2 linked regions of the Caenorhabditis elegans genome follow. The protein of the gene in region 1 purifies or fractionates together with the protein of each later gene. This does not show direct contact. Each region holds a gene or a part of one and is shown on either strand. Other genes may lie near its edges. The genes, in order: wrt-2 and dbd-2.

Evidence for each region.
Region 2: the proteins of wrt-2 (region 1) and dbd-2 fractionate together in Caenorhabditis elegans (co-fractionation; one large-scale study listed by BioGRID). This does not show direct contact.

The regions. Positions count from the first base shown.
Region 1 is NC_003284.9:3,091,754-3,096,459, forward strand, and holds wrt-2 (WaRThog (hedgehog-like family)), read right to left. Parts: upstream 2,597-4,706; 5' UTR 2,544-2,596; coding exon 2,454-2,543; intron 2,369-2,453; coding exon 2,177-2,368; intron 2,127-2,176; coding exon 2,031-2,126; intron 1,973-2,030; coding exon 1,809-1,972; intron 1,760-1,808; coding exon 1,684-1,759; intron 1,607-1,683; coding exon 1,357-1,606; intron 1,309-1,356; coding exon 1,204-1,308; intron 1,153-1,203; coding exon 761-1,152; 3' UTR 642-760; downstream 1-641. Other genes in the region: pccb-1 (Propionyl-CoA carboxylase beta chain, mitochondrial), read left to right, coding at 34-458; sec-3 (Exocyst complex component 1), read right to left, coding at 3,918-4,169, 4,219-4,317.
Region 2 is NC_003280.10:4,561,092-4,564,009, forward strand, and holds dbd-2 (DB domain-containing protein), read left to right. Parts: upstream 1-1,858; 5' UTR 1,859-1,859; coding exon 1,860-2,012; intron 2,013-2,101; coding exon 2,102-2,359; 3' UTR 2,360-2,369; downstream 2,370-2,918. Other genes in the region: M03A1.8 (ascorbate ferrireductase (transmembrane)), read left to right, coding at 1-276, 332-411, 456-619, 1,235-1,378.

The sequences.
Region 1 (4,706 bases):
GTATTTCAAATATTAAATCAAATATCTTTTCAGGAACTGCCCAAGAGTACGGAGGTATCATCCGTCACGGAGCCAAACTTCTCTACGCTTTTGCCGAGGCCACCGTTCCAAAGATTACCATCATTACTCGCAAAGCCTTCGGAGGAGCTTACGATGTCATGTCATCAAAGCATCTTCGTGGAGACATCAACTACGCCTGGCCAACTGCTGAGGTTGCTGTGATGGGAGCCAAGGGTGCAGTCTCCATTCTTTTCCGTAATGATAAGGAGCACGCCGTTCAACACGAGGAGGAATACACTGAGCTGTTCAGCAACCCGTTCCCAGCCGCTGTCAGAGGATTCGTCGACGACATTATCATTCCATCAGAGACCAGAAAGAAGGTGTGCGAGGATTTGAACATGCTTGAAAGCAAGAAGTTGAAGAACCCATGGAAGAAGCACGGAAACATTCCACTCTAAATTTCCAGCACTACCCACTCCGCCTTAATCCATACTATTATGTTGCCATTTCACCGGCCTGCTCGGTATTTGACGTGTTTACTTGTGAATTTTCATCCCACATACAAAATGCGCCATTTGCGTATTCCAATTGTTCGAGTATTATTTCCTTTTTCCGTTTTTTTGTTTTGTAAAGTCATAATTGAAAATTGTATTTATTACTGTTCTCAGATAAATAGTAGATTTTTGTGTTATTAGTACGAGCTTTCGAAATGGGACAAATGAAATCATATGTGATAATTGAGGCTAGCTAGTTGGCGCTTTTAGAGGACTCCGAAAAATTTGGCAACACTGGTTAGAATGGCACGCTGGACTGGTGGGATGACCTGCTCAACATCTTCTACGCTTGGAATTTGAAGCTTTGGAAGATCCTCAAGTTTTGGGAGGGTCATTGGTGGAAGTGTAGATGTCATTTGAACCGGCATTTGTGGAAGAGCACCAATTGGCATTTGTGGAACTCCTGCTGCTGCTGCTACTCCTGGCTGAGCGACAACTTGTGGAGCTTGGAACATCATTGGTTGTGGGAACTGTGGGAGTGGGGCAAATCCAAGTTGTTGCTGTGGCTGAGCTGGTTGCTGCTGTTGCTGTGGTTGTGCTTGTTGTTGCTGCTGCTGCTGCTGCATCTGTTGTTGTTGCTGCTGCTGGTTAGCATAAACTGGAAAATGGGATATATCTCATTGTGATTCTGAAATTAGGCGATGCTAACCTTGTTGCTGGAATGCTTGGTGCTGTTGTTGAAGCATTGCGGCAAATGGGTCTTGGTAGTATTGTGGCTGAGGTTGCTGTTGAGCATATTGTGGATATCCAGAATCTAAAACATGCAATCTATATTAACCATAATTGATTGTTCTATACTCACATTGTCCATTTTGTGCGACTCCGTACGCTTGTTGAGAAAATTGTCCGTAGTTTGTGGCTGGATTCACAACTCCCGGGTAAGCGACTTGAGCTGGCTGTTGGACTTGTTGTTGTTGTGGAGCATATGGTTGAATGTTAAGTGGAGCTCCCTGTTGTGGAACTGTGACTGATGGTTGGTGAGTGACAACAGAAGAAGCTGTTGGGGTGGTTGCTGGTTGTTCAACAACGGCGGCGGCCTCGACGATTGTGTTCTGAAATTACTCCAAATAAATAGTGTATCATCCAAATTAATCGGAAATATTTGAGCATTTGCCTGAAAAGTTCTCACTTCTCGTTTCTTGTTCTCCACAGCTTGCTCTTCGTCGAAGCATGGCATTCGCTTGATAGAAGCAACGTAAACAACGCTTAAATTGAATTAAATTGGTCTTAGTTTCGAGAGGGAATAAAACTCACGTTCCATTTTCGGAAACACTCTTGCTCAAATTCGAGATGTAATCAAAAGCAACAAGTCTAGAACCATCCAAAACCTCTCCTCCAACTACCAATTGTCCTTGCTTAACAATAGCGTTTCCGCGATCCTCTGCGCTGATAAGAACTTGATAACTGCAGCATTTCATCTAAACGATGTTTGGAAGATTAATTAAATTGTCATTTCACTTTTCATTTTCAACATACCTCCAGTTGGTCAGCGAATGGATCCGATTGTGGTGAAAGCCCTCCAACCCACTCTCCCTCCTCGCATGTTTTTGATTTGTATTCATCAGTGCAAATCTGAAACAAAGTACACCGTTTTTTTTTGCAAATACATATAAATGACAAACCGCAAGTTGTGGAACAAAGTTTGGATTTTTGCTTGGGCTCTTGATGAATTGATCGGATCTTCTGAGGTATCCATCATCCTTTCCAGCAACTCTATAGAATTGAGCAGTTTCTCCAGCTCTTGTTCCATTTGCAGTCCATCCGAAGCATTTTGGTCTTGCACACCCAAGAACAGGGTAGCCAGATCTTAGTACCTAAAGTGAACATTTAGTATATGTACAGTTACAAATCATGGGCTTTATTAGTTTTCTGTTCTTTAAAAATCAAGGAGTTGCTCACTTGGAAAGTGTATGGAATAGCTGATTGTCCACAGTAGGAGGCAAGGGCCACTGGCACTAAAGCCAAAAGGAATATGATCGGCGTATGCATCCGAGAAACAATTGGCAGGTTGATTGTCAATGAGAAGCGATTTGAACTACAATGAAAAGCTGGGCGTGGAAGGGACAATGGCCGTCTCGACAACGACAAGAAAATAAGGTCATCAAAATGTCTTTTTGCTGCTTTTCCTCTATATCTCCCGTATTGTTACGCGCGCGCGGATCGGTTGTCCCTCCTTCTCCTCTCCAGATTCCTCGAGATAAGGCAAGTGAAAGTCAGATCTACAACACCGGGAGTGAAGCCGTAGGGGGGGGGGGGGGGGGGCCCAAAAGGCATATTCTCGTATCGGTTTCTATCAGTGCAACACTTTCACTTGCCGTATGTTTGTCACCAATAATCCGGATCGCGAATCAGTTTTTTCGGTGGCTACCCAATTTTCATCAAGCTATTGTTTTATTCAAGAAAAATGGAATCGGTGTGGATCTAGCCATGCGGTTAACGGAAGACGATTTATGACCGGCTATTCCACGCGTATGTGGAGCTAGATTTGTAGCTTGTTTGAAATTCCTACACTATTCGAACAAGTTATGTTCATTTTACTTTACAGAGTCTGATAAGAATTGAAAACCAAGAATAAATAAACATCCCCCCTCCCCTAATTTTACTTTTTCTACGTTACCATGTTTAGTGGTTAGATCGGTTTATAATTCTCTTATAAACCTTCACAGTTACCTCTTAAAATGTTAAATTTTGTTCTGAAGTTTTCCAAAATAGATTGCGGCCTATCAATTTTACCTTTAAATCGAGTGATGAAAAAAAATGCGCTGTTAAAACAATTCTTACATGAAATAGTTTTAAATAAGATATAAGTACAGGGTGGTCCATAATTATGGACCACCCTGTATAAATGAGTCAAAAAATGTATATAAGAGTAAAATGTAAAACATAAAGTGAGATATAAACGGAATAACATTATAGAAGTTGTTTTTATTAGATTTAAATCGTGTTACACCCCTTTTTTATTAAAAGTTGCCAAAGTGTGTTCTTCAGAAAACACACCATTTGCATGTCAGATTCTTAAGTTGACCAGTTCAATGCAAACATTCAGTCAAAATTTCTACAAATGTGTAACCAAGAAGTCAGTTCCGTGAAATTTTTGTGAGCATTTGAAAATACGTGAAATAAAAGTCACCAAGCAAGACATTTATTTTTCAAAAAAGCAAGCATTACTACTATTTTCGAATGGGGAACACCCGTAAATTTATATTACAGACATCAGTAATGTAACGAAGTTCACCTATTACAGAATAGATAAATAAATATATTACAAAGCATGGTTCAGTAAGTATTAGAGTTCTGATAAATTAAAACTAAATTTTAAATGAATTAAAACAACAAAATTCAATAAAATTATTCGTCGTAATATTAGTGTTGTTGAGCAATTTCTGAGAAGAACTGAAGTACAGTGTCAGTGGAAACTTCGAGCTCAATCTTCGAGCCTGGGTAACAAGTGAGAATCAGTTTGTTGTATTCCGCAATTTGCTTGACAAATTGCTCTTGCATATCTCTCCATACAACTTGCAAAAGTGATGAATTGGCAACCAGGTTCTTCTCAATTTTCTTGTACAGTTGCTCGAGTCCTTTTTTCACTTCTTTTCCCGGATGTTGTGAAATTACCTGGAAAATTTATGAAATGGCGATTTTGATGATTAACTAGAAATTCAACCTTTTTAAGCTCAATGCGACTGAATTGTTGTTGATACGAGATTTCATCAGGACGAATTCCACGCGTTTCGATAAAGTTGTTGACATTGTCGAAGAACGTCTGAAATTTTTGGAATACATATCGATAGTTTTGGGAGATTTTTGTTTAAAGGTGGAGTACCGAAATTCGAATGAGATGTTTTGAAAATTCCTCAAAAAAAGTTATGGAGGTTCAAAGTCGGAAAAAAGGTTTTGCAGCTAAAATCACAATTTTTACAACTTCTCGGTGTCGCAGCGTCTGGAACTTAATTTTTATTTATTGATCACTCTTTAATAAATTTGTTGGTCTTTTATTGGGCGTATATGCGCTGAATTGTTGGGTCTAAAATAGCAAAGCCTCAAATTTTGGTACTCCAACTTTAAACTATGGTAGAGTGCCTTTTTTTACAAATGTTGTAGAATGACAAGCCAAAATTAGAAAGAAAAAACTAGTTTAAAGCATAATAGTCA
Region 2 (2,918 bases), on another chromosome or scaffold:
CTTTGTTCCAACGGGATTTTTATTTGCAAGATATGGACGGCAAGTGTTCAAAAATCATACAATTTACGGAATGTTCGTATGGTTTCAAATTCATCGAGCCTCAACTTTTATTGGTGTTTGTTGTATTGTAACCTCGATTTTGTGCATTTTAATTTCAACAAATTGGACCTGGAAAGGTACTGGATCTGAAGCATGGTACTGGACACAATGGCACACGGATTTTGGAACGATTTCTACTATTCTGGCATTCTCCCAGCCGTTGAATAGTTTGTTGAGGTAGATTTATTTTTGTAAAAAAATAGCAAAATTTTATACTTTTTATTTATTCCAGATGCCCACCTTCCAACTCACAACGTTCAATTTTTAATTGGGCTCATCGAATTGTTGGCCTTCTCTCCTACACTTTTGCTGGTAAGTTTCCATGACTAGAATTCAAACTTTTTATACAAATTAAGTGGCCGCAATCTACGTGGCTGCCGCCAATTATCGAAAGACATGGTCAGAGCCAACAATGGAAATTGTGCTGACCAGTGTGCCGACCATTTTGTGTATCGCCACAGGATTCGTAGTTTTGTATTTGGAAAGCGAGCAGAGAAATGGGTATAGGGAAGTTGAAATGGTAAGATTTTTCAATTTGCATTTAAAGTTCTAAAGTTGGAATATCCTATGCAATAAGAACATTTCTACGAAGATCATACCATATCATGTTGCGAATCACATGAACCAGCAGTCCGTATGTAGTTTACTCCTACGGGCAATATAGGCCAAATCACTGGAGATTAAATGATTAATTTATTTTTATTTCAATTATTGGCAACAAAAATTGATAATTTAGTATTAAAGAAGTGTGGAAAAGGGGGAAAAGTTTCTAAAAAAGTTAGTGATCCAAAACATAATATCTCATTTGTAAAACTAATAGTTTCGGTAAACAGTGAGAAAAATGAGTTTAAAAATGTTTTAAACTTGAATTCCCGCGCACAAGAAGTTTGAATATTTTTTGAGAATTTTTTTCTTAATTTTCAGAATTTTGTTGAATGTTCAAAGCACCTGAATTGCAATTTTTTGCATCAAATTTGAGAAAAAAAACTAGAATTTTTAAGGTAAAAAGAACATGTTTTATTAAAATTTTCAAGCAAAAAATTCTACAAAAATTAAGACTAACTTTAACGTCACAAATTTTTCAATTCAACATTTGTAACACAAAAAAATGTTCCACAAAAGACACAACTTACAGATCGAAAAATCCGAAAAAAATTCCAAAAAACCGGAGCGTCTTCAACTTATCCAAATCTCATGGATGTTCGCCGTTGTTGGAATCTGCTTCGGTGTCGCCATTTCATTATCTCTTCTGATTGCAAATGGATTCAAAAATGACTAATCACCTCTTTTTCAATGACAACTAATTCTCGTACCAACCACTTTTCTCTTTCTGACCTGACCTGCAATAATCCATTAAACGGCTGTGTGTGTCCTCTTTCTCACTTTATCACCAACTATCTCTTCTAGAAAATAAATATATATTTTCTATATGTTTCTTCTTATAACAGAGTCTATACATTATTACATGCAATTCATCTTTCGCAACATTGACCGGCCTCAAAAAATCCGATAAAAGTACAATGGTGACTGGTGTTCTAGGAAATAGGATTGTTATGATAGGGAGTGATATCTTATCTCTTTTATTATCACAGCCTGACCTCAATATGTCAGAGGTGGAGTCTTCCGGGTGACCCTTTAAATAGTCCGGGCCTTGACACCGATAGGCTGTGTATTCTTCATTTCTTCGATCTTCCACCTGTTGCAGTTTTCTTTTATTTTTCAAAGTTAACATATCTATATTCATAGTAATTAATTCTAGAATGAACCGCTTCGCAATTCTCCTGGCTCTCCCACTTCTTGCTCTTGCTGCTACTCCAAATGAGAAGCTGAAGCTATGCTGTGCCACGTTGAAGGATGCCGATAAGGAGTGCGTCGATCGATTCTGTGACTTCAATGCTCTTTCTCAAGCTAACGTAAGTTGTCTCCTGAGAGCTAGTTGCGCGTCAATTCTGATGTATTTAGTCAGCTTACTAGAAATAACCATTACACGTTCTTATTTCAGATTCTGAACTTCATGTCGACTTGCGGAGAGCGTGGACCAACTGTCGGAGAAATGTGGGATTGTGCTTCCCTCCGTCACAACCACGAGGACTGCTGCAAGAAGGCCGGTGTCTCTGGAGAATGCCTCAAGTACTGTACCGCTCATAAGGGAGCTCCATCCAACTATTTGGACTATGCTTTCTGTACCGAGAACTTCAACGAGATCCGTGATTGCTTCTACAACCATTTGGACAAGAACGAGCCATTCAAGAAGCTCTAAATGGAAATATAATAATTGAAATTTTCTTTATATTATGAAACGTGTATTTAATAATATGGAATAAAGATCAACTTGATGATAAAGTTAACAGTTTTCCAAGCTATTTTGTCTTTTGATTGGCTTGTCCGGAGTTCTGGAATTGCCAGTTCAAAGGCACATGATGTTTTTCCAAGTGGGTCTCGCCACGATCTCAGACATAATTGTCGTTACAGGGCCCAGTTTTCCAGGTGAAATAGAAAATATAGTTTATGAAATTTCAAACTCAAAATTTCCGGTAGAAAGCCCGGATTTAGGACCTAGTTCCATGTTTCCGCAATGTCCTACAAAATTCCCCCATTTTCCAAAACTACAGTAATCATACAGTACTCAATCACTACTTTACCCAAGCTACAGCAACTAACAACATAACTTTCCCAAGTTTCACGTCTCGCCTTCTTTCTCGTATTGTTTTGTTTTGACAATTTGAAGGAAAAAGCTGTTGAGTCGAGTGTTTGTCGGGGCGGCTCACACTGTAGTACAATAAGGCTTCACATGCGCCTACATAGGTAATCGCGTGCAC